Linked DNA regions of Saccharomyces cerevisiae S288C. The gene in region 4 interacts genetically with the main gene of each other region. Each region holds a gene or a part of one and is shown on either strand. Other genes may lie near its edges.

The links.
Region 1: of PTP2 (region 4) and HOG1, a mutation in one rescues a mutant of the other (synthetic rescue), as found in Saccharomyces cerevisiae (4 studies listed by BioGRID, with this or other methods).
Region 2: mutations in PTP2 (region 4) and NBP2 together harm fitness more than expected from each alone (negative genetic interaction), as found in Saccharomyces cerevisiae (5 studies listed by BioGRID, with this or other methods).
Region 3: mutations in PTP2 (region 4) and PTC1 together harm fitness more than expected from each alone (negative genetic interaction), as found in Saccharomyces cerevisiae (8 studies listed by BioGRID, with this or other methods).

Annotation. Positions count from the first base shown.
Region 1 is NC_001144.5:367,328-376,113, forward strand, and holds HOG1 (mitogen-activated protein kinase HOG1), read left to right. Parts: upstream 1-4,292; coding exon 4,293-5,600; downstream 5,601-8,786. Other genes in the region: YLR108C (uncharacterized protein), read right to left, coding at 1-797; thioredoxin peroxidase AHP1, read left to right, coding at 1,454-1,984; CCW12 (Ccw12p), read right to left, coding at 2,370-2,771; YLR111W (uncharacterized protein), read left to right, coding at 3,064-3,396; YLR112W (uncharacterized protein), read left to right, coding at 3,464-3,883; AVL9 (Avl9p), read right to left, coding at 7,617-8,786. UniProt on the Saccharomyces cerevisiae protein: Proline-directed serine/threonine-protein kinase involved in a signal transduction pathway that is activated by changes in the osmolarity of the extracellular environment.
Region 2 is NC_001136.10:778,996-782,998, reverse strand, and holds NBP2 (adaptor protein NBP2), read left to right. Parts: upstream 1-1,898; coding exon 1,899-2,609; downstream 2,610-4,003. Other genes in the region: SEC1 (Sec1p), read left to right, coding at 1-958; U2-type spliceosomal complex subunit CWC15, read right to left, coding at 1,049-1,576; ACL4 (Acl4p), read right to left, coding at 2,793-3,956. UniProt on the Saccharomyces cerevisiae protein: Negatively regulates the high-osmolarity glycerol (HOG) pathway through its negative regulation of the HOG1 kinase activity. Mediates the binding between the PTC1 phosphatase and the PBS2 MAP/ERK kinase (MEK).
Region 3 is NC_001136.10:433,088-441,254, forward strand, and holds PTC1 (type 2C protein phosphatase PTC1), read left to right. Parts: upstream 1-6,821; coding exon 6,822-7,667; downstream 7,668-8,167. Other genes in the region: YDL009C (uncharacterized protein), read right to left, coding at 1-161; APC11 (anaphase promoting complex subunit 11), read left to right, coding at 410-907; YDL007C-A (uncharacterized protein), read right to left, coding at 3,480-3,737; proteasome regulatory particle base subunit RPT2, read left to right, coding at 4,960-6,273; MED2 (Med2p), read right to left, coding at 7,927-8,167. UniProt on the Saccharomyces cerevisiae protein: Serine and threonine phosphatase. Involved in tRNA splicing and cell separation.
Region 4 is NC_001147.6:729,585-739,536, forward strand, and holds PTP2 (tyrosine protein phosphatase PTP2), read left to right. Parts: upstream 1-4,340; coding exon 4,341-6,593; downstream 6,594-9,952. Other genes in the region: mRNA-binding ribosome synthesis protein NOC2, read left to right, coding at 1-60; DNA-directed RNA polymerase III core subunit RET1, read right to left, coding at 424-3,873; NPT1 (nicotinate phosphoribosyltransferase), read right to left, coding at 6,853-8,142; DNA-directed RNA polymerase core subunit RPB10, read left to right, coding at 8,736-8,948; dynamin-related GTPase MGM1, read right to left, coding at 9,340-9,952. UniProt on the Saccharomyces cerevisiae protein: Major phosphatase responsible with PTP3 for tyrosine dephosphorylation of MAP kinase HOG1 to inactivate its activity. May also be involved in the regulation of MAP kinase FUS3. May be implicated in the ubiquitin-mediated protein degradation.

The DNA.
Region 1 (8,786 bases), on a different chromosome or scaffold from region 4:
ACCGCTAAAGATTGGTTTCCGGTATGAAGTGATGTTAACCTTTCAATGGTTACACCCTTCTTGGAGACGCTATCAAGAGCTATGCAAACTTCTTGACAATTAGTTAAGGGATTATATATAATTTTTGCCCGCACTAATTCCTGCTCCAACCTGTTGAGACGGTAATAACGACACTCTTTTATCAGAGATGCGGTTCTTTCCTCAGACAGTTCTAATTTGGAACCGCCCAGTAAAGATAATATATCTCGGAAAAATTCTGGGGACCTTGCAATATATGAGGGTGGTAATAAAGGTGGAAAGCCCGGCTTCTTATTTGACTCCCACTTCTCAATTTCCTCATAAGATATGCGAGAAATCGTTTCAAAATAGTTCAACCGGTTCCCTTCTTCATGGAATAATGATTTTGGTACCTTAAAGGGAACACCTCCAATATTAGTGAAGTGGTAGTCGTATTCTTTTATGAGTTTAACTAACTTGGGTAACTGAAAATATAATGCGTCCGCGAAAAGACAGGTAAATTGTACTTCGTTCTTAATATCGGGAAAATAACCTTGTAAATGTCTGTATATTATGATGAACACGTCTTCCGATCTATCAACAAATAGAATCGTATTTTTATCGTGCGTATTGAAGAATTGGGTGAAAAAATTGGGCGCATCCGAATTCAATGTAGCACCTGAGATCTCAAATAGCTTTTGGCCAATCCTAATCTTGAAAACTTCATGGTTTGGTAAAAGCTCGGGGGTAGTTTCTAACTCTTTTGTATAAACCACGATCTCGCCCTTTTGGCCAGACATCTGATATGAGCGTGCGTGTGAGTGACTTTACACTTGTCTATCCACGTCCTGAAGTTGTTCGTGTTCTTTGGATATTCGTGTTCAAGCTAATAATGAGCCTTTAAGGTAATACAATTTATAAACCACCACCTTGGCCTCGATCTATTGCGCTTATGTTGTCTATTAGTAATCAAGAAAAGAACCCTAAATCATCGGCGTCCCCTGTGGGGCTCTCGGAAAAACCGGTCCTGACGTCACTGAAAAGATTTCGGCACATGGTCATGGGACCAGAGAAAAATTAATCCGACATGTGGAATATTTCCTTCCGTTAAGGTAGTGAGCGCGGATTTTTTCTGATTTGTAATTATACGGGGAGCTCTGGCCAAAAAGGTCAGTATTTGGTGATGAAGTTGAATATCATCTTTTGATTTTCTTCTGTATCATTCTTTTTCTTTTTCCACACCCCTTCCGGACGGTATTCACATATTGTTGAGAGGTTAAATGAAAAATAAAGGGGTGGAAAATTAAGGACGAGATGTAAGGGAAAAGCATAAACGAAACATTATATAAAGGAGCACAATTTCCTCTCCCTTGCCAATTGTGCATATACCGTTTCTTTATAACGAAATTTCAACAAACCAGAACAACACAAGTACTACCAATAACCACAACAAAACATGTCTGACTTAGTTAACAAGAAATTCCCAGCTGGCGACTACAAATTCCAATACATTGCTATCAGCCAAAGTGATGCTGACAGTGAATCTTGTAAGATGCCACAAACAGTTGAATGGTCCAAATTAATTTCTGAAAACAAGAAGGTTATCATTACCGGTGCTCCAGCTGCTTTCTCCCCAACCTGTACTGTCAGCCATATTCCAGGTTACATCAACTACTTGGATGAATTAGTTAAGGAAAAGGAAGTTGACCAAGTGATCGTTGTTACTGTTGACAACCCGTTCGCTAACCAAGCGTGGGCTAAGAGTTTAGGTGTTAAGGACACCACACACATCAAGTTTGCCTCCGACCCAGGCTGTGCTTTCACCAAATCCATTGGTTTCGAATTAGCCGTCGGTGACGGTGTTTACTGGAGTGGTAGATGGGCCATGGTTGTTGAAAACGGTATCGTTACTTACGCTGCCAAGGAAACCAACCCAGGTACCGATGTGACCGTTTCCTCAGTCGAAAGTGTCTTGGCTCATTTGTAGATGCTATGTAATAGACAATAAAACCATGTTTATATAAAAAAAATTCAAAATAGAAAACGATTCTGTACAAGGAGTATTTTTTTTTTGTTCTAGTGTGTTTATATTATCCTTGGCTAAGAGGCACTGCGTATACTTCAAGGTACCCCTGTGTTTTGAAAAAAAACAACAGTAAAATAGGAACTCCGCGAGGTTCAGGAACCTGAAACAAAATCAATAAAAACATTATATGCGTTTCGAACAAAATTAAAGAAAAAGAATAAATATAGATTAAAAAAAAAAAGAAGAAATTAAAAGAATTTCTACTAAATCCCAATTGTTATATATTTGTTAAATGCCAAAAAAGTTTATAAAAAATTTAGAATGTATAAATAATAATAAACTAAGTTTACAACAACAAAGCAGCGGCACCAGCCAACAAAGCACCAGCAGCTGGCAAAGCCTTAGCAGCAGCACCAGTGTAAGAGGTGACAGAGTGAGTTGGAGCAGCAGAGGTGGTGTTCTTTGGAGCTTCAGTAGAGGTAACTGGAGCAGCAGTAGAAGTACCGTTCTTTGGGGCTTCAGTGGTCAATGGGCACCAGGTGGTGTATTGAGTGATAACGTCATCGACGGTGACGGTAGCGGTGGAAACCAAAGCTGGGGAGACAGTTTCAGAACAGACGTGGTCTTCACAAGAAGTGATGGTGACCAAAGTGGTAGATTCTTGGCTGACAGTAGCAGTGGTAACGTTAGCAGCGGCAGAAGCGACAGCGGCGACAGCGGCGATAGAAGCGACAGTAGAAAATTGCATTATTGATATAGTGTTTAAGCGAATGACAGAAGATTAATTTCTTGGTATGTTAGGAAAGAATAAAGGAGAATAAGAATAATTAGAACAATGTAGGATGGAAAGAAAGATTATCAAGCATGCCGACTTTATATACTTGAACGGAGGCAAAGGATGCAAAATTTTCTCACATTTCTTTCTGCCGTTATGTTGGAAGTAAGACTCCCATTATCGCAATACTGCAACACGAATATGCAAAATTTGCTGAGTTATCGCAGATAGTTGTTGCAAAGATAGCGGCGTAGGTGGCCGCGAAATGGGGAATTCCAAAACAAACGGTTTTTTTACTCCTGAGAAATACTTGTACGGGATAATCCAGGGCCTACCACCCACGCTTCGAGGATTGGCTTTTATTTTTTTTTTTTTGGTGGCGTTTTATTTCTTTCCCGCTTTCTGGGACTTGTGCGGAGTTTTGAGAGGGGCGCGCGGCAAAGGATTCCCAAAACGGAAATCAGACGCCAATAGCCAGCACTCAAAGCAGTTCTGGACCCATTCCGATTTTCCCATTTGGTTCTTGCGCGTGCTGATTCCGACACGCGCGTCTATAAATAGCATGAAGTATCCGCACACCGCAGCGTTAGTGAGGTGAGGGTGGCAGCAAGCTAATTCCCGCATCTGGAATCTGAACTGCCCCTTTTGGACTAACCGTGTGGTTCATGGGTGGGCGAAGTGCGCAACCTCGAAGGTTTTCTTTTGCGTGTCGGATTTTACATCCGGCGGTAGCGCATGATGCCATGGCTGGCTCCAGATACATCCTCAGGGCACCAGCATCTATAATTAGATTGGCGCAACATGGCTGGCTGCACTGCTGTCTTCACTTCTTTCTTTTTCCGGCAATGAATGATGTATGTTTTGTGGCAAAAGGGTCCGCATTGTACCTGTTTACAGTTGAGATTATCGTTTTTGGTAGCCCTTCATTACGGCATAACGTATTAAGTTTCTTTTATTTTGCTTTGCCCTGGTTTAAAAGACAATGTCGATTAAAAGTTAATTTTAATCGATTGAAGGAAATAAGAGGAATAGCGCAAGTTGTTAGGAAAGCGTTCTTTATCTCCAAGACTTTGCCCTGTATATAATTAAACACCTCAAAGCGCTTCGTCATGGATGGAGATTATTCGGCATTTTGACATACAGGAGTGCCACATGCGAAAGCGGAGTGGGCGTATTCTCTGGTTACCCTACATGGTCTGGCGGCGTTATTATACGGGAGGATCTTCGAAGGGAAGGAAGGAAAAAAAAAAAGAAAAGGCCAACGAAAAGCAAATATTATCTATCGTCGAAATTATCATACTATCTTACAATAAGAGTAGTAATTACTTTCTTGTTTGTATAGTGGAAGAGGAATTTGCGATAATAATAGCAAAAGTAACTAATCTCTAACAAGAAACCTTATTTATTTTCTCTTTCTTCTATATTGGTAAATACTAGACTCGAAAAAAAGGAACAAAGGGAAAACAGGGAAAACTACAACTATCGTATATAATAATGACCACTAACGAGGAATTCATTAGGACACAGATATTCGGTACAGTTTTCGAGATCACAAATAGATACAATGATTTAAACCCCGTTGGGATGGGGGCATTTGGGTTGGTTTGCTCAGCCACGGACACTTTGACATCTCAGCCAGTTGCCATTAAGAAAATCATGAAACCTTTTTCCACTGCAGTGCTGGCCAAAAGGACATATCGTGAACTAAAACTACTAAAACATCTAAGACACGAGAACTTGATTTGCCTTCAGGACATATTTCTTTCTCCATTGGAAGATATATATTTTGTCACGGAATTACAAGGAACAGATTTACATAGACTCTTGCAAACAAGACCCTTGGAAAAGCAATTTGTTCAGTATTTCCTATACCAAATTCTAAGGGGTTTAAAATACGTTCACTCCGCGGGCGTCATTCATAGAGATTTGAAACCGAGCAACATTCTGATTAATGAAAACTGTGATTTGAAGATTTGCGATTTCGGTCTAGCAAGAATTCAAGACCCTCAAATGACAGGCTATGTTTCCACTAGATACTACAGGGCACCTGAAATCATGCTAACGTGGCAAAAATATGACGTCGAGGTCGACATTTGGTCCGCTGGTTGTATTTTTGCCGAAATGATTGAAGGTAAGCCTTTGTTCCCTGGGAAAGATCATGTTCACCAATTTTCGATCATCACTGACTTGTTGGGATCTCCGCCAAAGGATGTGATAAATACTATTTGTTCCGAAAATACTCTAAAATTTGTTACTTCGTTACCACACAGAGATCCAATTCCATTTTCTGAAAGATTTAAAACAGTCGAACCTGATGCCGTAGACCTTTTGGAAAAAATGCTGGTTTTTGATCCTAAGAAGAGAATCACTGCGGCGGATGCCTTGGCTCATCCTTATTCGGCTCCTTACCACGATCCAACGGATGAACCAGTAGCCGATGCCAAGTTCGATTGGCACTTTAATGACGCTGATCTGCCTGTCGATACCTGGCGTGTTATGATGTACTCAGAAATCCTAGACTTCCATAAGATTGGTGGCAGTGATGGACAGATTGATATATCTGCCACGTTTGATGACCAAGTTGCTGCAGCCACCGCTGCCGCGGCGCAGGCACAGGCTCAGGCTCAGGCTCAAGTTCAGTTAAACATGGCTGCGCATTCGCATAATGGCGCTGGCACTACTGGAAATGATCACTCAGATATAGCTGGTGGAAACAAAGTCAGCGATCATGTAGCTGCAAATGACACCATTACGGACTACGGTAACCAGGCCATACAGTACGCTAATGAGTTCCAACAGTAAACGTGTTTTTTTAATGTCCCTAACCACTCATTCTTACTTCTTTTTGATGTTTCTTTTTTTTATGGTACTCATAAAAGTATTTACGTATATAGTTGTATAGAGGAAACAAAAAAAAAAAGATAAAACTCAATTACAAAGTAAAGTGGACGTATTTCGATCATGATTTTTTTCTGTTTTAACCGCATTGGATTTTCTTGTAAAACTGGAAGAAAAAGGAAACTAAAAAGTCAAGAAAGACCTTTTTAAGACTCCAAGAACCGTCACTTATGGCGTATTGTTTGTTTATCAGCACTTCTATCTTCGATAAAGGTTTGTCTGTCTTATATTGTTTACATTTCAAGTCTAATTCTGTGCTTTTACCGAAGAGGAATTTTCATAAATACGGAGAAAATATAAAAAAAAAGTAAATACAGAAAATAGAACAGTTGAAGCAGAAAAAGAGAACTTGCTAAATAGCTGTCTCACCCAGACAAGCGTATACTTACCACATTTAGTCTTTTGCAATCTCATTCTTGTTGAAGATAACTATTACATTCACGGACTGTGGCAGAAACTTCTCCTTAAGAAATTAGGAACTCATAAAAGGAATCAGCAGCTCTATGTAATATCAAAATCTTTTCTATTTTTTGTATTTATGCTCTCATTCATTAATTCTAACGGAGCTATTTATTATAAACAGTGAAGATATAAACCATATGTCTAATAGAACAAATTTCAAAAAGTCTTCAATTTCGTGGATGTGGGAATGCATTTATTAAAAATAATGAATGGCAACATACGACACCAAAATAGGAACACTTTCAGTACTATACAGAACTACGGATCTTAGTTTATTGAGTTTTGAGAAATAGGTTGATATGGAGACAATTTCTTAGCGTTATTAGAGGTTATAAGTATACAGAATAACCTACGAGTAGTCCTCAAGAAGATAAGACTCTGCAAAAGGTATCAATAATTTTACTTAATCATAGCACTATTTCTTCTTTCGCTTTGTACAGCAGCTCATATATTCCATTACATTATCAATTCTTACATCGTAGCATAAAACACTAAGATTCAAAAATAGAAAACTGTTGTATCTCAAAATGAGATACGTCAGTATGACAATACGTCATCCTAAACGTTCATAAAACACATATGAAACAACCTTATAACAAAACGAACAACATGAGACAAAACCCGTCCTTCCCTAGCTGAACTACCCAAAAGTATAAATGCCTGAACAATTAGTTTAGATCCGAGATTCCGCGCTTCCACCACTTAGTATGATTCATATTTTATATAATATATAAGATAAGTAACATCCGTGAGTTAATCTGATAAACCGTTTTGACAACTGGTAACTTCCCTAAGACTGTTTATATTAGGATTGTCAAGACACTCCGGTATTACTCGAGCCCGTAATAAAACAAAAACAATAAATCTTGTTCCTCGTGGCCCAATGGTCACGGCGTCTGGCTACGAACCAGAAGATTCCAGGTTCAAGTCCTGGCGGGGAAGATTTTTTTGCTCCGACAATTATGTCGCTACCCTTCAGTTTTGTTGAAAATGATGCTTTTATCGTTAACTTTACTTATCTTTATTGTTTGCAAGATTACTATTAATATTAAAGAGGGTCTAGCAAGGATACTGCGATTGTTTCTAAATATTTCAACTTTCTACGTTATTCATCTTTAGGAAGCTAAAAAGCATTCAAAAGATTACTATGAAGTTAATCTTTAAACATAGTTTGATGAGCGTCTATGCAAATAGAATAACTTCAAAAAATTTTCTATTCCATTTTTGGAAAGCCCCAAAAAGCTATATTCTATAATTTCTGAATCTTATTGTGCTTGTGGAGGTCACCCCAGTTTTCTATAAATTATTATTCAGCTATTATCCCAATACGACTAAAGGTATTGAGATTCACGGATATTTTTTCCCCTGCAACTTTCACAACTGGAGGGCTCTGTTTCTTGATTTTCTTTTTGTCATATAAACATATCTTAGCGCGATTGCTAACAAATAGTATAGATATCATAATTTTTCCTCATCCTGCACACAATTACCTATAGCAGCGTCATTCGCACCGCCCTCCTCATTGGATTTTTTAACTGTATTTCTCGTTTTAGATGAGTCTTCAACATTTCTATCGTTTTCATAAATATCAGTTTTACTGTCGGAATTTTTATTGCTCTCAGGACCACCTTCAATATCTTTATCTGCAACGGTTTCGTCCTCATTAAAATTTTCTGCATTACCCTCAAAATTCTGTTCATTTTCTTTATCATGATCAGTGTTAATGTTCGTAACGTCTGTAAAACCATTGCTAAAATCTTGACTGTCTTCCTTATCGCCATTTTCATCGCCCTCACCGTCATCGCCATTTTCATCGCCCTCACCGTCATCGCCATTTTCATCGCCCTCACCGTCATCGTCATCGTCATCGTCCTCACTATCATCGTCATCACCACCATCATCATCATCATCCTCAGAGTCCTCATCAGTATCATCATCTTCATTGTCCTCACTATTTCCCACCTCTTCACTTTGTTGATCTGTCTCCGCATCAGGTTTATAATGTAAACCCAAGCCCATCATAGCTTTCTGTATCGCGTTCGATGTTTTACTTCTGTTTTTGAGATCTTCTGTGGATTCAGTAACATCTTCATTAGCAGTATTCTTTGGTTTATTGAAATATTCCTTCCATGAATTCCATAAGTTGGCTGCTGGCTTGTCTGTATTCTTTCCAGGATTTACAGAAATTTGGGAAACAGACTTTTTTGACTCGATGCTTTCCTGGTCTTTGATATCCTCCTCGCTTTGATGACCATTTTTATTGCTTGAAGAGTTGCTAGAGCTTCTTTTTAAATTATGAAATGTGGCCAAAAATCGTTGCTGTAATAGAGACAGAGTGTCGGCACCGTTATATATATGCTTCGGAGGAAACAAGTCGAACAATCTATCATCTGTTCTTGAGTTGAATATCAGAAAATTTTGAGTCTCTTTCCAACTCTGAACCCAATTCAAATTGAATAAATGAACGGGATTGGAATTTAGCATATCCTCAGGTATAGTCTTCAAAGCTTGATCATTCTCTTTATGCAGGTCCAAATAATCACTTAATTTAACACTGGAAAGTAACCCCGTTAAATAGTCCTCGAATTGCCACCTAATGAAATCCTCACTGCCTTCAAATTGAGAGTT
Region 2 (4,003 bases), on a different chromosome or scaffold from region 4:
TGAGAAGATAAAGCATATTATCGATGATCTCTTACCAGCGTTAGCAATGAAGGAACCGACAATCTTAGATAAATTGCGTTACATTATTGCGTATGCTCTTTTCAGAGGTGGAATTATCGAGTTAGACTTCATTAAATTATTGAACTTTATAGGAGTTACTCATGAACATGAAAATTTCCAGCAATATTTAAAAATATTCAGAAATTACGATTTAATTGATTTCAAATTGATCAAAGACAAACCGAAGGATAAACCATTTCAAAAGGAATGGTTTCATGATACTTTAGTGAATGATCCAAATATCTATCACACTTCAAGGTTCGTTCCCGCTGTAGGGAATATTCTTTCAAAGGTTATAGCGAATCCATTGTTATTGAGCGAACAATACTTCCCATATTTAAAGGACAAGCCAATTGAGTTATTGAATGAAGAAGAATTCCAAGCAGGCTTAGCGAATACCTCTGCTAACTCCTCCTCATCCTTAAGGAATCCCCGTCACAAGGCAGCTTGGACCACGAAAAGCTCTAATATAAAAAAAAACATACCTAGACAAAGATTCTTCTACTATGTTATTGGTGGTATATCAATTCCCGAAATTAAAGCTGCTTATGATCAATCAAACTTGAAGAACAGAGATATCTTTATTGGCAGCGACGAGATATTAACACCAACAAAATTCTTAGATGAAGTGGAACGTTTACAAAATCCTAGAGAATTTTTCAAATTCAAGGAAGATCAGCGCCAGCAAGTAAACCCGCCTGATTTCCTTCTAAGGGAAATGAAACCGGTGGCACAACCAGTCTCTCATGTTCATTTAAAAAGCCAAGACAATAGTCCTAAGTCTGGTACTTCTAGTCCCAAAGCAGCAGGTTCTCTCAAGTCAGAACCACCCGAAAAAGAGAAGAAACGTAGCAAATTCTCGAGGTTCTTGAAAAGAAAATCTCACCATGATAAATGATCCCTTAAAGAAGACAGTGATAAAAAAAATCACTTGCTCTTGTCAAAAAAAAAAGATATAAACGTACTATTTATGTATCGTTCCTATGTACTATCTAACATGCTTATGGAGAAATTCTTGATGATATTCAGATTTTGTCATATCGTTAATGTATCCGGACGCTGATTTTTTTGTTGCATGTTCCTTAATATTTGTCTCTTTGGTTACTTTATGGCGTCCAAACGCCGTGCCCTTTCTCCACGATCGCCTAGACGAATTTCCTCCCTTTAATTGTTCATTTCCTTCAAGCTCTGCTTTATCTTCCACTTTATTTTTTTGAGTAACCAGCAGCTCTTGCAACGAGTCTTTTTGGTCTTTCTCACTGCGGGTTTCTTGGAGGTTCCCACTCCCCACAACATCCTGTTTCTCTTCGTTCATTACTGCCTCCTCTAAAGATTTATCGTTGCTCCTATCTTCTTGCGCACAGTTTGCTCTAAGATTTTCCTCCTCTTTAAATTTCCTGTATTTTAATGTTGTATGTCCTGGTAGTAATCTGGCATGCTCGATGCCTGTTGGTGTATAAGCGGCCGCTTTTGCACCGCTTCTTGCTTCTAACTGTGGTCTGTGTGATGTGGTCATGGTCTTGTAGCCCTTTCAAATGCCAGCCTCTGAGCAAGTTCTTTATGGAGCCTTTTGGAGCTTTGTCATTCCTATTTCCTTTTCGTGAAGAGATAGACTATTATTTTTAGTCACACCAACTTATTTTTCCAGTTGCGAGAAATGGAGAATTCACTTCAGAAGTAGCTTGTAATGGACAATGCAACACAGTGCACAGTAACAACACGCTCAATCACACATAATAACAGCTACCAATAAAACGTGATAGATACTAACAAATTTTAAGTATTTTTCTCAACTTTACCTTACTTTAACTTCCACTGACATATTTATTGAATCTACGATGGCAACGATGGAAACGACCACACAAAAAGATACCAATATTTTGAAATCTGGTCTCAAAAAAACTATAGGTGTTCTCAATGAGGCAGTATTACAGAACGGGAGAGAGGTGGAGGCAGTGCAGGCAGGAAATAGTGACACAATGGAAGATACAGAAACAACCACAATAGGTTATATATCAATCAAAGATTATGCGTACGCAGATTCGAATCCTCTCCATTATGGTTATTTTGATGGAGACAATGAGGAGGATGAAATGGTTTCAGATTCTTCAAATGGAGAAGACACATACAATAAAAGACAAAGTATAACACTACCAGACGACTACATAGTTAACCAACGTGCTGTTGCCCTCTACGATTTCGAACCCGAAAATGATAATGAATTGAGATTGGCTGAGGGTGACATCGTATTTATCAGTTACAAGCATGGGCAAGGTTGGCTAGTAGCAGAAAATGAGTCAGGATCAAAAACAGGGTTGGTACCGGAGGAGTTTGTCTCTTATATACAGCCGGAAGATGGTGAGAACGAGGTGGAGAATAAGGCTCGACCTTTCTATTTGACACATTTGATTACACAGAGCGTTAGTCCTAAAAACAATATTGATAACACTAACGAAGATGAATACGACGACAACGATGAATGGGAAGATATTGATGATGTTGCGGAGGTCGAAGCAGATATGAAAACAAAATTAGATATATCGGATTGAATACAAATTCCAATTGGTTATGACAGTAAAATACTCACTAAAAACAGATAAAGAGGTCACCACCCTGGCGGTATGCCTGGCCGAATCTTCTTCCATCTGTTCTATGTCATAATTTCCGTTTCTTACGGATATATACATATATATCAGTGTATGTACTTATGCATATGTTAAATTAGAAGACTATTAGTCAGAATATTCTTCCTCTATGTCCAACTCTTCCAAGTCTTCATTCTCATTCACTAAATCACCCTTCTTGATTTGTGTTAACTCACTTGGATCTAGAGGACCACCAATTTCTTGGAGTAAAGCATTAGCACCGCCCAATAATTCTTGCACAATTTCATCTTTGCTGTCAGCATTGACACCTGCTTGCAATGCAAAACTTAGCGCTAATCTTGAGTCATAGATTAACTGGGAGATTGGTTCGTGGGATAAATCCAAAGGAACTTCTTGAATGAGTTGGTTAAACTCGTATATATTTTCCGGACGCAGGCTTACTTCGGGATTGTTCAACTTGAAAATTTCTAATTTACTCATTAAATAATAAGTAAAACCCTCTAGATAATAACCCTCTATGTTATCCTCATCTATATCTCTTACTGCGGCAATAACTTTCAATGCGACTTCGTAAGCTCCCACTTCGAGGCACATCTTTGTTAAAGATAAAAGAGGTTGTAAAAGATCTACATACTCTGACTGTAAACCAGCTTTCTGAGTTGTGTCACCATTTTCATTTATACCGCTACCAATTTCTTGTTTTTTCAACTCAAAGAAATTCCAGGCTTGTGAGAATGCTTCATAAGCTTCTCCAAATTTTTGTTGCGAGATTTTGATAGAACCCAGGGTAGACCATGTTTCAGGAGATTTTCCCTCTGTGAGTTCCATCGCCTTTTGTATTAACTCCTCACACTGCTCTTCTGCATTTGGCTCCATACATAAATCCGTCATCCAAATTTCAATCACAGAAAGCAGTCCACCTACAATCTTTTCAACCTGAACGTTGGTTAACATTTCACCTCCAGTATTAGAGATGTTCATTATTCCGCGAGTTATTATCGATACACCATCCTGTCCACCCATGATTTGACCCATGGTAAAAAATTTGTCCGGTCCGCCAACTTGTCCCTCAGGATCTAATTCGCAAGCACGCGCTAAAATTGGGTAGGCTTTCTCTACCTGTCCATTATCCAGGTATGCATCGGCAAACACTTCATTCAGTATTACATTGTTTGCGTTTTCTTTTTTCAGTGAACTTTTGAACGGCTTCAATATTTTGAGCGCCTTTTTGGCATTATTTTCAGCCAGGGCTTCTTTGGCTTGCCTAATTGTGGCTTCAAGTTCACTCATATTCCTTTTTTAATCCTCAGCCTGAAGATGCTTTTAGGTATAAGTTC
Region 3 (8,167 bases), on a different chromosome or scaffold from region 4:
ATGATTAGGTCGTGAAATGCAGTGTAGTTGGAAAGGCGTAGTTTTCCTAGCACAAGGCGTTTCGGAGTTGGAATAAAGAAGCTATCACCAACGAAGAAGCTTTTTTGTCCAAGACATCTCTTAAAAGGGTTGTGAAAACATAAAACGCTTAATGCCTTCATATATACATATATAAGTTTATGGTTTCGATGTTTACAATAACTTCTATCCTTTGCTGGTCCATGCACTTCACCTTGGTAAGTTATGCAACGCACTTTTGTCTACGCCTGCATTCGATATAAAGGGTAAGCTGCCGAGATAACTTTTGTATCTTCCGTGTCTGCAGATAAAAAAATAATGCATTCTTCAAAAACTTTGTACAATATCGGGAGAGTTTAACAAGCAAAGTGGCAATACAGATTATAAAAATATGAAAGTTAAAATAAACGAAGTGCACAGTGTGTTTGCTTGGTCATGGCACATCCCTAGCACATCTGATGAGGACGCAGCCAATAACGATCCAATTGGCAATGATGAAGACGAGGATGTCTGTGGTATCTGTCGTGCCAGTTATAACGGTACCTGTCCAAGCTGTAAATTTCCAGGCGATCAATGCCCTTTAGTGATTGGGCTATGTCATCATAACTTCCATGATCATTGTATATACCGTTGGCTTGATACACCAACCTCAAAAGGACTGTGTCCGATGTGTAGGCAAACTTTCCAGCTACAGAAGGGTCTAGCAATTAATGACGCTCATGTCCAAAAGTTCGTTGAAATAGTTTCAAGAAGAAGAGAAGAAATGATAGAGGAGGGCGTCGCAGAAGAGTTTGTGGACTTTGATGAACCAATAAGGCAAAACACCGATAACCCAATCGGTAGACAGCAAGTTGATACCATCCTGGACGAAGACTTTTTGTTACGATAAAAAAGAAACTTAGAAATCACAATTAGCTATATTTCCATACGGTTCTTTTCTTGTGAACGCTGTTAACATTCTGTATACTTAAATGAAAATTTAATATTGATTTTTTCTTGTTGCAGCTAAAGATAAAAAAATTTTCTTTTCCAATCGTTGAATAGATGTACTGTAGCCGGAACTGAAGTTAAGGTTGTTAGATTGAAAAAGAACAACAGTGTACTAATCATGCTAACGATGACAGCGGTATCGTTGCATACTTAGAATACATAAAAATATGCTTCCAATCGGATTTGAACCGATGATCTCCACATTACTAGTGTGGCGCCTTACCAACTTGGCCATAGAAGCTTCTGATTTGTGTTCATTTGATTGTAAGTTAGAGTATTTCAAGCTCTAACTCAATTATGTGAACTTTCATAAAATTGTGTTATTTTTGAGAAATATGTGAGTTGTTAGATAATTGTTGGGATTCCATTGTTGCTAAAGGCTATAATATTGGTATACAGAATATACTAGAAGTTCTCCTCGAGGATATAGGAATCCACAAAAGGGAATCGATAGTTCTACATAATGTTATTATTTTATCTTCTTTCCTTTTATGCGTTGTCATTCATTATCCTATTACATTATCAATCCTTGCATTTCAGCTTCCATTAGATCGGATGACTGTTTCTCAATCTTTATGTCATCTTCTTACACCGCATGTGATAATATAATATTAAATAGATGATATTAGAGTTCAATTCCAACAATTTTCATTCTAGATAGCGGGAATATTACTGGGTATTCAGTATATCACAACGTCTCTTACAAGATAGAGGATACTACAAGAGGGAAGCAAGAATCATACATGGTAATGTTGTTTTTTCTTCCCCACATTTTTTGTTATCATTCGTTATTTATTATATTTTCAATGCTTGCATTTGCAGCTTCCATCTCATCTGATGACTGTTTCTCAATTCTTATAGTGTGTTATCATGTACGGTATTAGATGATGACATAAGGTTATGAGAAATTGTCGTCGAAGTTAAAGGAAGCTGTATTCTGTATACATAATACTATAGAATTTACAAACAGTGGAATTGCAACAATTATCAAATTATTCACCTAATAATCACCTTTAACATTCAGGGAGGTTTATTTTTGCTTCCGAAATTTTTACAGTCTACAGGGAAGAAATAAATATTTAGTTGAGAAAGTTTTGTTTATTTGTAAGTTATTAATTTGAAAAATAAATACCATAACTAGCGCAAAGCTTATAAAAGAGATGTTTGTTGAAAAATGCAGAAACCCCATATATAAAACCATGAAATGTCACAATGGACATGATGTACATTCTTGGAGATAACATCATATTCGAAATATTCAATATGCCCAATTGGTACCTGTTCTCCATACCCCATTATATGATACAAATGATCTGCCCCTATTCTAACACTGTGCTAGCAACATAGCAATTATACTAAATTTTTTCAGTCACTATGCAATACATGTAATCTCTCAACTACCAAGCAGTCATTATTCTATTAATATATATTTGTGCTTGGAAGTATTGTTTCACTTCTCAGAGGCCTTTCTTGACATGTTATAGTTTTTTAGGTACCTTCTAATCCTGTAAATTTATACAAAAATTGGTATATAATGGCTACCTCCGGAAATTTTAACAACTTTTGGGTCACACTATTACTGTGTATACTTCCTTTAGAGATCTCAAGCATTACTGAAAGATAACCTGAGGAAAAACATAGCGCGTCTACGGATGTGTAATACTCGCTGGATTTCCTGGTAAAAACTACTGTACATTTATCAGCTGCCTCTGCCAATGCTATTGAGAACCGTAGGTTCATTAGAATTACTTCATTCAACGGAAAACGTCACTATACCTGCCGCTTGTGTGTCGCGTCAGTAACGCCTTGACAGAAAAAGAAAGAAAAGAATATGACCGACCGATCGATGTATTATTATTATTGAACTGATTATAAAAAATTGGAACGTCGTAGAATCAGAAATCATAAGACAATGGCCAACTATGCCAAATCACACATCAATATTTAACCGAGATAGCAAAAGAAAATAAATTTCGATTATTTTTAAAATGTAACTGACAGTTTTTGGCACTTGTGGACTTCCTCTTTCCGGCAGATAGCAAAACCAACGGTAGAATGGCCCCGAAATTTAAATTTTATTTCATTGTGTGCTTGAGCGTGGCCTTTTTTTTTTTTTTTTTACATATCACAAACAATTCACACATTACCACACATACCATAAGCTAACGTATGCGGTGCAAAGTTCACTATTAGGCGCTTAAAGGCTTGGAACGAAATGACTTCTGGCTTTTGTTTCCTATACACATTCTTAGCAAAACTTTTGGTGTTGTAACAAGCAATGAGATAGAGAAAGAAATATATCCATCAATGGAAGAAATAGGCAGACGTCGGTAATTTTATTCTATTGAAAATATGCAAAAGTGACAGTATAAATTGAAGTAACTAATTTTACATCTAGTAAGCTGCTGTTGAAGAATTGAATAGTATCGCAGTATTTATTTTGTATACCCTTAGAATACACATACTTGGTGTTAGAAGCCATCTAATACACTATATAACTCGGGGATTAAATCATCTTGGAAGAGCGAATCTAGTTCAGGATCGCCTGTCGTAAAGTTCGAGGATAAGGACATCGAATTTAGTAGTAGTCCTAATGACTCGATGTTATTGTCTAAAATTTGTTCAATTTCTTTTCCTGATTTATCATCGTCTTCTTGAATAGGTAAACAGTAATATTTACCAAAGTTCAGGAGGGTTAGGATGGTGTGAAAAATTATAGGAAGGAACATCAAGAAAGTGCTTGAAATATTTTTCTTGGATTATGGAAGTATCAAGAACGATATTATTTCAATAATGTGATGGTTTATATCTTTGCATACAATAGATTTTGTGATACTTTTTTTATGTAATGGTCCCGTAACCCCGTCGCTCTTTCCCTTTTAATTTTGCCCGATCCACTTTCTATGCCGGTAGTTTAGCCGCCAAGTGCTATTTTCAAACGAATCAATAGTAGCGGCTGCAACTTTGAAAAAGAAAGAAACAAAATTATGCGCTAGTTTTCCATTTCTTGTATTCTTTTTTCTTTTGCGGTGGTAATTACGGGAATTTAGTGATGTTGGAACGAGAGTAATTAATAGTGACATGAGTTGCTATGGTAACAATCTAATGCTTACACCGTATATTAATGTACACCTCGTATACGTTTAAGTGTGATTGCACCTATTGCAGAAGGAATGTTAAACGAGAAGCTCAGACAATACTGAAGCTGTGCTAAAGATCTATTAATTGAACATGATATGGTAGGTACATATATGAGGAATATGAGTCGTCACATCAATGTATAGTAACTACCGGAATCACTATTATATTGGTCATGATTAATATGACCAATCGGCGTGTGTTTTATATACCTCTCTTATTTAGTATAAGAAGATCAATACTTATTTCTTCATTAATACTATTTTTTACCTCTAACTATCAACAAGTGATAATTGTTGGAATTCCATTGTTAATAAAGGCAATAATATTATGTATACAGAATACAGCTTCCTCTAACTTCTATGACAGTTTCTCATACCTTATGTCATCATCTAACATTGTACATTATAATATACTCGTAGTAAGACTACTAGTTGAGAGAGAATAGTTGATTTTTATTCTAACAAATAATATTCCAGCAGGTTTACATATTCCTAGGTTTGGGATATATCTTAAGTCAATAATTCATCATTAGTAAGGCAACTTGGCCGAGTGGTTAAGGCGAAAGATTAGAAATCTTTTGGGCTTTGCCCGCGCAGGTTCGAGTCCTGCAGTTGTCGTCATTTTTATATTCCCAATATTTTTATCACTCCGGGTAACGAGTTATTAACGGTTTTTCTCCGGTGGCAAATGTCTCTTTTCTTTTACCTAAAAGAAGGTTAATGTGAATATTAGTGAATATGATGCGTATCAGTGTCAAGCTTACAGTCAATTCAAGTTAAAGAAGAGACAGCGTTTTTAATAGAAAATAAAATGGGACAAGGTGTATCATCTGGACAAGACAAAAAGAAGAAGAAGGGATCTAATCAGAAACCCAAATATGAACCTCCCGTTCAATCTAAATTTGGTCGTAAGAAAAGAAAGGGAGGTCCAGCTACTGCTGAAAAATTACCCAACATATATCCAAGTACTCGTTGTAAGTTAAAGCTTCTAAGGATGGAACGAATTAAAGACCATTTGTTATTAGAAGAAGAATTTGTCTCTAACTCTGAAATTTTAAAACCCTTTGAAAAGAAGCAGGAGGAGGAAAAGAAACAATTGGAAGAAATACGTGGAAATCCATTGAGCATTGGGACCCTTGAAGAAATTATAGACGATGATCATGCGATAGTGACAAGTCCAACTATGCCTGATTATTATGTATCTATCTTATCCTTTGTCGATAAAGAGTTACTAGAGCCTGGATGTTCTGTGTTATTGCATCATAAAACCATGTCCATCGTAGGTGTTTTACAGGATGACGCCGATCCAATGGTTTCGGTCATGAAAATGGATAAGTCGCCAACAGAATCATACAGTGATATTGGTGGCTTAGAATCTCAAATTCAAGAAATAAAAGAGTCTGTAGAGTTACCGTTAACACACCCCGAACTGTATGAAGAGATGGGTATCAAACCTCCCAAGGGTGTGATTCTTTATGGTGCACCCGGTACAGGTAAGACATTGCTAGCAAAGGCTGTTGCAAATCAAACATCTGCCACATTCTTAAGGATTGTTGGCTCAGAGTTAATTCAAAAATATTTGGGGGATGGTCCTAGGTTGTGTAGGCAAATTTTCAAAGTAGCGGGTGAGAATGCACCAAGTATTGTATTTATTGATGAAATAGACGCCATTGGTACTAAAAGATATGACTCCAATAGTGGTGGTGAGAGAGAAATTCAGAGAACCATGCTGGAATTGCTGAACCAGCTGGACGGGTTCGACGACAGAGGGGATGTGAAGGTGATTATGGCCACTAACAAAATCGAGACTCTTGACCCAGCATTAATCAGGCCTGGGAGAATTGATCGTAAAATCTTATTTGAAAACCCTGATCTAAGTACTAAGAAAAAAATTTTAGGGATTCACACTTCCAAGATGAATTTAAGTGAGGACGTTAATCTTGAAACTTTAGTAACAACAAAGGATGATTTGTCAGGCGCCGATATCCAGGCAATGTGTACAGAAGCAGGTTTGTTAGCCCTTAGAGAGAGAAGAATGCAAGTTACAGCGGAGGATTTTAAACAAGCCAAGGAGAGAGTCATGAAAAATAAAGTTGAGGAAAATTTAGAAGGTTTATACTTGTGATGTGCCCATTTACATTTTTCTATAATAGATTTACGTATATAAGTAATGCTTCAACAAAGCTTAATATGTGTACATTTTGTATCACGTGCAATATTTGTTTCAAAAACTTAATATAGGTAGGGCGTCGGGGCCTTCGCGAATTCTAACTGCAAAGGAAAACTGGTGAACACATCTGAGAGGGTTTGTTGTCCTAATTTTATAGGAAACTAAAACTCAAAAGACAAAGTATACCTTTGCAAATTGAAAGCTTAGTTAAACATTATTATTCGTGTGTTTGAGGTCACTTTTTTTCGTCTTAAACAGCTCTCAAAGTTGTCTCAAAATTTTTATCCGGATTCCTTTACATTAACAGACCCCAAACACAACAAGTTTTGATAGTTTAAGTAAGTGAACGCTTATTTTTGTTGTCGTTGAAAAGAAAATAAATAGGCAGTATTATCAATTAGGAGGTGAGTTAAATTCCATTCTATACCGAGTATACGAGATTTTGCACATTCTTACTTCATATATCATTTAGGCACTGCATTTATCTTTTAAAAATCATTATAATGAGTAATCATTCTGAAATCTTAGAAAGGCCAGAAACACCATATGACATAACTTATAGAGTAGGTGTGGCGGAAAATAAAAACTCGAAATTTCGGAGGACAATGGAAGATGTTCATACGTATGTTAAAAACTTTGCTTCAAGATTAGATTGGGGATATTTCGCGGTGTTTGATGGACATGCTGGGATTCAGGCCTCCAAATGGTGTGGTAAACATCTTCATACAATTATAGAGCAAAACATTTTGGCAGATGAAACACGAGATGTTAGAGATGTATTGAACGATTCATTCCTAGCCATTGACGAAGAAATTAATACAAAACTTGTAGGAAATAGTGGATGTACTGCTGCTGTTTGCGTATTACGTTGGGAGCTTCCGGATTCAGTTTCTGATGATTCAATGGATTTAGCCCAACACCAAAGAAAGTTATATACAGCAAATGTTGGTGATTCTCGAATAGTATTGTTTAGAAACGGGAACAGCATAAGACTGACTTATGATCATAAGGCATCTGACACTTTGGAGATGCAGAGAGTTGAACAAGCAGGTGGCCTGATAATGAAAAGTCGTGTAAATGGTATGCTGGCAGTGACGAGATCGTTAGGGGATAAATTTTTTGATAGTTTAGTAGTGGGCAGCCCATTTACCACGAGCGTAGAAATAACTTCTGAGGACAAATTTTTAATCCTAGCGTGTGATGGATTATGGGATGTTATTGATGATCAAGATGCATGCGAATTAATCAAGGATATTACTGAACCTAATGAAGCTGCAAAAGTCTTGGTTAGATATGCTTTGGAAAATGGCACAACAGATAATGTAACGGTCATGGTTGTCTTCCTCTAAGAAGGATCCGTTATAAACCGCGCAAAAATTATGCATAGACATAGAGATATGCAATGTGTATGTGTGTATGTATGTATATGTATAAACGTACCAAATCTATTTTGCATGCATCTCTCACATGACGAATGAGGTTTTAGTAGAATAGGATTCCAGATTTTTAAACTGGAGAACATATTCTATCATATATATACCAATTAAATTCACGTAGCGAATGCACAACACGGTTTACAAGTCAATAGTTAACAATAGGAAGACCAAGCTATATATTGAAGCCGCTGAGGTCTAATTCGCCATTATCTCCAGTGGTCGACCAGTCAATATTAAGGTCGTTGAAATCATTTAATGTCAAGTATTCTTCACCGTTGTCGGCTGGAGGAGGGTTATCTCCAGGATTGGAAACAACGGTCGTTGGTAAATCATTATTAACTATATTTTCATTATCATTTCCGGTAGTGATAGAATTGTTCTTGTTATTGCTGTCGTTGTTGGTGGTATTGTTA
Region 4 (9,952 bases):
TTATTAAACAGTCTGGAAAGTGATGATGACAACGAAGATGTTGAAATGTCAGACGCTTAACAACTCAGCAAGATTTGATTTTTTGTCTTGAATTCAATAGTTAAGTCTATAAATGTGTAAAATAAAGAAAAGTCTTTTTTAAAGCGTATATATCATTGTGCTCACATGTGCTAACATGTGAGCACTCCAAGCTTTCTCTTGTCAGCTGGATATTTTTATATTTTGGCCGGTTTATGGATAGAAAACACGTCAAACGTTCGATGGATCTTATAAAAAGTAATGATGTAAAGCAAGGTACAAAAATGAAAGAAGTACGGTTTACTGTTATATAATTTTCGAAATCGTTCAACTCTCTTAAAGTTCCTCACGAAATAGATATGATTGCTAACATAACGCAAAATTTAGTACAAGATATATGATTTCTTACTGCTGGAAGATATCTTCCAATCTTAATCTTGGGGCTATGTTCATGGATAATAATTCCTGGAATAACAGTTTTGCTGCATATGGAATAGTCATCTTAATAATATTCTCAGCACTTTTGCAGGTAGTACACCAACCACTATAGCCCATTAATCCACATTTATCGCAGACATCAACTTCAAAAGCATCTGAACTAATCATCAACCTTTCTAACAGCAATTGTGAAGCACCATACGCGATTACACAATCCCTCTCCATCTCACCCAACCTCAGACCACCATCTCTAGATCTACCCTCAGTTGGTTGACGTGTCAAAACAGCCCTTGGACCACGAGCTCTTGCATGCATCTTATCTAAGACCATATGCTTTAACTTTTGATAGTAAATGGGGCCAAAAAAGATGTAAGCCTGTAAACACTCACCTGTTATACCTGAATATAACATATCCTTACCGGAATAGTTGAAACCTTGGTCTACCAAAATCTTAGACATATCTTCAAGTTTAGAACCACCAAAACAAGTACCATATTCCAATGTACCATTCAATACACCAGCTTTACCCGATATCAGTTCGATCATTTTACCCACAGTCATACGAGATGGAAAACCGTGAGGGTTCATGATAATGTCTGGAACTATACCTTGATCGTTGAAGGGCATGTCTTCTTGCTTTACAATAATACCACAAACACCTTTTTGACCATGTCTAGAAGAAAATTTGTCACCTAATTCTGGCCTTCTGTTTTGTCTTAGCAAAACTTTGATTAAAGCTTGATCGTTATCCGAAACAGACATCATAACTTGGTCAATGTGAGAAGGTTCTGGACCTCTATATATTACCGGAGCTTCCCTATATTGAGTTTGGACGTTTACGTTGTTTGGGTTTGGGGCGTCTGCTGAGTTAGTTGGAACTGACTTATTTATATAAATTTGTCCACTTTGGACCTTCATACCCACCTCACCTAGACCATCAGGACCAAGAGATTGATGTTGCCAGATAGGATCTCCATTTTCATCAACTCTCATACCACCGATGATATCTTGGGTATGGTTCGCATATCTTTTCAAAACAGTGGTTGTCTTTCTACGTGTTTCGCAACGGCCGAAACCTCTATCGATGGATGACTTATTCAAAACCAAAGCATCTTCAATATCATAACCAGAATAGGACATGACAGCAACCGTAGCATTTTGACCAGCAGGTAATTTATCATAATCGATCAATTCAATTGTTTTGGTTTTCACCATTGGCTGTTGTGGATAAGTCATCAAGTATAATAATGTATCTATTCTCTTGAATTGATTGTAGGCGATTGCACCAATCGCTTGCTTACCCATCGCACATTGATATGTGTTACGAGGGGATTGGTTATGATGTGGATATGGAATTAAACCAGCAACAGCACCTAAAATTGTGAATGGCTCGATTTCTAAATGTGTCATCGAGGGAACTATATCTTTTTCATACAATGCAATGTAAGAATCGTTTTCTTCATTGACATCTAAATATTCCACCAATCCGAGTTTCAAAAAATCATCGAAATCTAACTCACCATCTAATAATTTGCGTAAATGAATATCTTTCACGCGAGATTGACCATCAGAAACAATGATTAATGGCCTACAAATTCTACCACCATCTGTTGCAATATGAACTGCCATTTGGTGAGAATTTGAATAAATTGAGATAAACTCCGACACTTTACCTGTTCTTCTCAGATGTCTGAACTGAGTAACGAATTTTGTTGGGAATCTGATTGAACCAATTAAAGTACCATTCAAATAAACACCATAGTTTAAATGCAAGGATGCACTGTCAATCAATGTTATGTCTTCTACACCAAGAACATAACATAATTTCTTTATAGGTTCCTCTTCGTCATCTGTAGTAATATGAGTCATTAATGCTAAATTTTTCACTAGACCACACGCCTCACCTTCTGGAGTATCTGCAGTACAAAGCATACCAAATTGAGAAGGTTGTAATGCTCTTGGACCGGAAACTTTTCTTGATTTTTCAAACTGAGAAGAAATTCTTGTCATCATACCCAATGCGGAAATATAAGATAGTCTGGAAAGAACATGTGTAACACCCGCTCTTTCCATCTTAAATCTTTTAAGAGACCAATTACCGGTTGAGATAGCTCTGTTCAGTCCGCTGGTGATGTTATTTGAATGGACGTTAATTGACAATAATGCATCGTATTCCATAGCCCTATTTGGTTTTTTCAAGACCTTATCAATGCTTAGTTTAAAATCATTATTAAACTTTTTGAACAAATCTTCGAACAATAAAGAAATCAATTGGCCTGCTAATTCAAGACGTTTATTACCAACATAATCTCTATCATCAATCATCTTAGGGTTATACATTGCCATCACCACCCTGCGCGTCATCATGGCAATATATAAAGCCTTTTCTCTAAAGTCAAGGGCTTCCACAGTCAAATGTGCAATAACCGTGGTAGCAATGGCCTCTATACCCTCTTGCAGGATAGTCAGTTTTTGCCTTCTCATTGTCTTTACTTTTGCACCAATATACTCTAAAGCTTGCTGTTGTGTGTAAATATCTAATTTCGAAGATTCTTCCAAATTGACTGCAAAAATATCTTGGTAGCTACTATCATTACCGCAAACCAATTGCATAATTTCTAAATCTGATAAAATACCACAGGCTTTGAGAACAATAGCAATAGGAATTTCTTCAGCGATGGAATTGTGCTTCAAATAGATCTTGCCATTTTTGGTAATGACATAAGTCTTAGATTTTCTTTCATGGGTAGATGAAGTAACGGAGGCCTGAACAATGCCTTTCTTCTCATCTGCCTCCACAATAATACGATTCTTGGATAATTGTTCTTGAACAAGAATTACTTTTTCGGTACCGTTAACAATAAAGTAACCACCAGGATCCAACGGACACTCGTTTAATTTAGCCATTTTCGATTCATCAGCATCATATAGGATACATTTATTAGATCTCAGCATGATCGGCATCCTACCAATTTCCACGTCTTTATGCATAATAATGTTTCTACCTCTAGTGTATTCTATATCCACGTAGATTGGTGCAGAGTATGTCATATCTCTAAGCCTACACTCATGAGGCGGAGTCAAATAATCTTTTGTCGAAGAAGAGGACTTCTTACCCACTCTAATATCGACGTACTTCAGGTAGAATTCTGGATCAACATCACTCAAAATTAATTGATTTGCCTTTATAATTTTTTTTAAATCTGTATCAACGAAGTAGTTAAATGAGTCAAGATGTTGCTTCACCAAACCTTTAACCTTCAAGAATGCTGGTAAAAGGTGCCACTTATCCTGAGCAGTATTGATTTCATCAGTTAGTTTCTTACCTTTATATACTGGTTTCAATAAATCATCAAAAGCCTCGTCTTTCACATGCTTATGTATATGAGTTTTCCGTCTTTTTGTCGCAGCAACCATTTTTCAACAAGCACTAAGTCCCTAGCGATTAAAACGCTCAATTATCAACACTTTAAACTCCCTTTAATTCTTTCCTAACTTGTCCATATATCATCACTTAAGCATAGATCGAAAAATTTTCAGCTCATCTCACAATTACAATTTCGTCCGACGTGATCTGGAAAATACGCGCCTGCTTTATGGAACTATTTATATCTTTATGTGTAGTACACCTAACAATAAGGAATATATAAAAATAATGCACCTATTAAAACCTTTGGGAAGTGCCAACTTTGAATCATCATCTTTCTTTGAACACCGCGCTGCGACCTTTGACAAGAAAGACGAGATCACTCAACCTGACAGACCCGATTCCCCTGGTTCCCCTCTTCCGCTTTGCACAGCCCTTTTCGCTTAGTTTGGAAGCCTAGGTCCGATCCCCAGTGCTATTAATAGTTTACAATAAAATAGGATCGACGTTGCTATTGATGGATCGCATAGCACAGCAATATCGTAATGGCAAAAGAGACAATAACGGCAATAGAATGGCTTCTTCCGCTATATCGGAAAAGGGCCACATACAAGTCAATCAAACTAGAACACCTGGTCAAATGCCCGTCTATAGAGGTGAAACTATAAATCTGTCTAACCTTCCCCAAAATCAAATTAAACCGTGCAAAGATTTGGACGACGTTAACATACGGCGGAACAACTCTAATAGGCATTCTAAAATACTTTTACTAGATCTGTGCGCTGGCCCCAATACCAACTCATTTTTAGGCAATACCAATGCTAAGGATATCACAGTTTTATCGTTGCCGCTACCCAGCACTTTGGTGAAAAGGTCGAACTACCCGTTCGAGAACTTACTAAAGAATTACCTTGGATCTGATGAAAAGTATATTGAGTTCACAAAGATCATCAAAGATTATGATATTTTCATTTTCAGTGATTCGTTTAGCAGAATTTCGAGTTGTTTAAAGACAACTTTTTGCCTCATTGAGAAGTTTAAAAAGTTCATCTGCCATTTTTTTCCATCTCCTTATTTGAAATTCTTTCTTCTCGAAGGCTCTCTGAATGATAGCAAGGCCCCCTCATTAGGAAAAAATAAGAAAAATTGCATCTTGCCCAAATTGGATTTGAACTTGAATGTAAACTTAACTTCAAGGTCAACTTTAAATTTAAGAATAAACATACCTCCACCCAATGATTCAAATAAAATATTTTTACAGTCTCTGAAAAAGGATCTAATTCATTATTCTCCTAATTCTTTGCAAAAGTTTTTCCAATTCAATATGCCTGCTGACTTAGCACCTAACGACACGATTTTACCGAATTGGCTAAAATTCTGCTCCGTAAAAGAAAATGAAAAGGTAATATTAAAGAAACTCTTTAACAATTTTGAAACTTTAGAAAATTTTGAAATGCAAAGATTAGAGAAATGCCTGAAATTCAAGAAAAAGCCTTTACATCAAAAGCAGCTATCACAAAAGCAGAGGGGTCCGCAATCCACGGATGATTCAAAATTATATTCTTTAACTAGTTTGCAACGACAGTATAAAAGTTCTTTGAAAAGCAACATACAGAAAAATCAAAAGCTAAAATTAATTATACCAAAAAACAACACATCTTCTTCGCCATCACCATTATCTTCCGATGATACTATAATGTCACCAATAAATGATTACGAACTTACTGAAGGAATTCAGTCTTTTACTAAGAATAGATATTCTAATATCTTACCTTACGAACATTCAAGAGTAAAGTTACCTCACTCCCCGAAACCACCTGCAGTTTCTGAAGCATCCACAACCGAAACTAAAACAGATAAGTCATATCCGATGTGTCCCGTAGATGCAAAAAACCACTCCTGCAAACCGAACGACTATATCAATGCGAACTATTTGAAGCTCACGCAAATTAATCCTGATTTCAAGTATATTGCTACCCAAGCTCCGCTTCCTTCTACGATGGATGATTTTTGGAAGGTTATTACTTTAAATAAAGTTAAAGTAATAATATCATTGAATTCTGACGATGAATTGAATTTAAGAAAATGGGATATTTACTGGAATAATCTGTCATATTCCAACCACACTATCAAACTTCAGAACACCTGGGAGAATATTTGCAATATTAATGGCTGTGTTCTCAGAGTCTTTCAAGTCAAGAAAACAGCTCCACAAAATGATAATATCAGTCAAGATTGTGACCTTCCGCATAATGGTGACCTTACTTCCATTACCATGGCTGTATCCGAGCCGTTTATTGTTTACCAATTACAATACAAGAATTGGTTAGATTCATGCGGCGTAGATATGAATGACATCATTAAACTACACAAAGTCAAAAATTCGTTATTGTTTAACCCGCAAAGTTTTATTACAAGCCTCGAAAAGGATGTTTGCAAGCCTGATTTGATAGATGATAATAATAGTGAGTTACATCTCGATACAGCAAATTCATCGCCACTATTAGTCCATTGTTCTGCAGGGTGTGGAAGAACAGGTGTTTTCGTTACCTTGGATTTCCTACTAAGTATTCTTTCACCTACAACAAATCACTCAAACAAGATTGATGTTTGGAATATGACTCAGGACCTTATCTTTATCATAGTGAATGAATTAAGAAAGCAAAGGATTTCAATGGTACAGAATCTAACTCAATATATCGCTTGTTATGAGGCATTATTAAATTATTTTGCCCTGCAAAAGCAGATAAAGAACGCGTTACCTTGTTAATAGAATTGTTTTTCTCCTATTATACAAACACTTTTCGTTTTGATAAATTACATAACCTCTCGTTGCATTTTATTTCATTATATAGATACATTAAAAATAAAAAAAAATAAATCTACAATTAACAATCTCCTCATAAAGAAACACGGGTTTTTTTACGTACTCGCAACTTCATATAATGTTTTATTTTTGCGATATCAGCTGCATATCTATATGTCATATTTATAAAATCGCAGAGATGTCAGTACCCATAACTGAATAATTAGGTCCATCTGTGCGCTTCGTTATCACCACTCCAACTTCGTTCAGTATATCCCAATTCCTCTTTCACTCTCTTCACAGTGGCAGGATCTCCCATATTTTTACCTAAGTTATCAGAAATTTTGATAGCGTGATTACCATTTACTTCTAATAGTTTGATAACGATGTTTAACGGCTCACTTTTAACCTGGGGTTCTGACTTCTTACGAAAATCATTAGTAAAGTTTGTGCCAATACCGAATGTGGCTAGCATTCCATTCTCTTTAGCTGCATGGGAGTAAGTTATTGCCTTTTCGACGTTCAAAGAATCGGAATAACAGATAATCTTCGAGAATTTAGGCAATTTCAACACGTCATGGTAATGGTGGGAAATCTTTTTGGTATACTCAACTGGGTCTCCAGAATCTTGTCTAACACCGACGTAAGCATCAGAATATGGTGGACGGAATGATTTTAAAAAGTCATCAGTTCCAAAAGTATCCGTTAATGCTAAACCAGCATTTTTTGCACCAAAAGTATTGATCCAACAATCCATTGCATTTTTATTGGCATGCAAATAATCTTCACTAATAGAAGCGACTCCCATAACCCACTCGTGAGCCACAGTACCGATTGGCTTGACTCCATATTTCTTGGCAAATAAAATATTTGATGTGCCTAATAATAGCGATTTGTTTCTGTCTGGGTTACCGTTCACAGCTTTCATGATTCCTTGCATAATTAGATCTTGAGCCTTCAGAGATCTACGACGTCTTGTACCAAATTCACTGAATCTAATACCATTATCAAACAAAGTTTCCGCCTTCTTCTCAGCTTGTTCTAATTGGTTTTCGTAGTCCCAGTCGATGTCAACAAATTTAAAATACGCTTCTGATATTAGGGACAGTAAGGGGATCTCATAAAGGATAGTATCCTTCCAACTACCACTGACTAAAATTTTCAATTTGTAGTGGGTGGGCTTGCCCTCGATTTCTTCTGAAGTGAAGGAAATCTGCTCTTCAGGGTGTAGTTTGTAATTAGAACTGCTAATATACTTAATATATGCCGATGGCAAATATGGGATTTCCTGTTTTAAGTATTCAATTTCCTCTTCTGTGAACCTCAAATTTCCCAAATACGAAAATTGCTCTTTCAACCAATTAATGGCTTCCTTATTGAAGGTCAATTGGGACGACCTGTTGGTATATTTATAAGTAACTGTAACATCTGGAAAATTAGTGAAGACAGCAGCATGCATCGTAATCTTGTACATGTCTGTGTCCAAAAGAGACTTTATCACTGGTTCTGACATGGTTATCTTGCTTGGCGAAAATAGGTACAAAAGGCTAAATCCACCTTTCTTCTAAAATATTATCTACCGTTTGTTTCCTTACAGTGACGAATTGAAACAAAAAAACTGATGGGATCCAATTTACGTTTCGATAACTGTTGAAAGGCTCGTCATTTTGGTTAGTCAAAGACAACAATTCTTTCATTTGCGAGTTTTTCCAGTCTTATAAGAACGGATCTGACGAATTTTTCACCCAGGCGCAGCAGCCATTTTTGTTGATATTTTGACGAATTTACAACGTAAAAAAGTAAGATGAAGGGTTCATATATGCAAAAGCAGACCTGATAAATCTTTTCATATTCTTGAGGTTTTTAAGCCCAAAATAAGCTACTATCAGCACTCCGATGGCTACTACACTGGAAGTGTCAGCAATTGAGAACACAAAGATCACGTTGAACGAAAAGTAATTTCTCACTCGTTGTATTTGGTAAAAAAAATTTCATAAGAAAAAAAAAAAGAAACATTGAATAAAATCACAATGGGATGATAGTTAAAGTGTATTCAAACTGTAGAGTGTAGAACGTAAACCTCAATAAGCAAAATAATAATACAAAATGATTGTCCCAGTCAGATGTTTCTCATGCGGTAAAGTTGTTGGTGACAAGTGGGAAAGCTACTTAAACTTGTTGCAAGAAGATGAGTTGGATGAAGGTACTGCATTGTCAAGATTAGGTCTAAAAAGATACTGCTGTAGAAGAATGATTCTAACCCACGTCGATCTTATTGAAAAGTTTTTAAGATACAACCCATTAGAAAAAAGAGATTAAGTGTTCCTCAATATGGCTGTTTTTGAACTTTTCTTTTCCTTGATGGATGAAAAAAAAAAGATGAGAGCGGTCATGAATATAGAAACGATAACCATTTATTCTCACACACTAAAAGAACTACACGACAACCAGATGTGTCTCTGCATACTGTAGGAATACCATTCTCTTCCAAAATAATAGAAAATAATATATATATATCTTTTGTTTACTCTTCAAGACGATAAAGGAAGTATGTAGATGTTACATCGTGCGATATAAGAGACTTGTATACTATAAGAAAGAGCTTAGATGAAGGGTATGCCTTTATTTTTTCAGAAAAATACACCCTAGTAATTATATAACGGTAAAAAATGCTATTTACAAATTCTCTAATGACACTATTTATTTTACATCATAAATTTTTGGAGACGCCCTTGTAGCTTTTCTTGAAAACCAAGATTGAATCTATTTTCTCCAAGGCTAATTCTAACAGCTCCTTTCTCTTTTGCAATTCAATATGCCTTGAAATCTTCGGATCTTCCTTAGCAAACATTTCCACTTGTTCATCTCCCAACAATGTTAACCTTCTGTCTAATTCAATAGGGAAGTTATAAAAAAAATCGCTTAATAATTCAACGTTAAGGAATAAAACAGCTGTGGAGGTCAATTTATCACTAACTGCAGATAGAAATACCTCTGGACAACGATCCTTCTCAATTGTCGAATGACATTTGTTTTTCAACATTTTTAATCTGAACGATAACACTTTGCACCTTTTATCCAGGAAAATAGCTTCAGAGCCTCTTTCCAATAGTAATTTGGACATGCCGAGTGTTTCTTTTTGCAAATTTGATTCATTTTCTAAATAGCCCATTACATTTGCTAATTTCTTACTGCCAACGGCATTTTTGATTGCCTGGTACCTTGAGTTACATTGACGTAATTCTTCCTTTATTAAATTAATGGAATGTTGACGAGCAAGGCTCCAGTCTCTTTCTTCCAAATCAATTTCATACTTGAAGGGT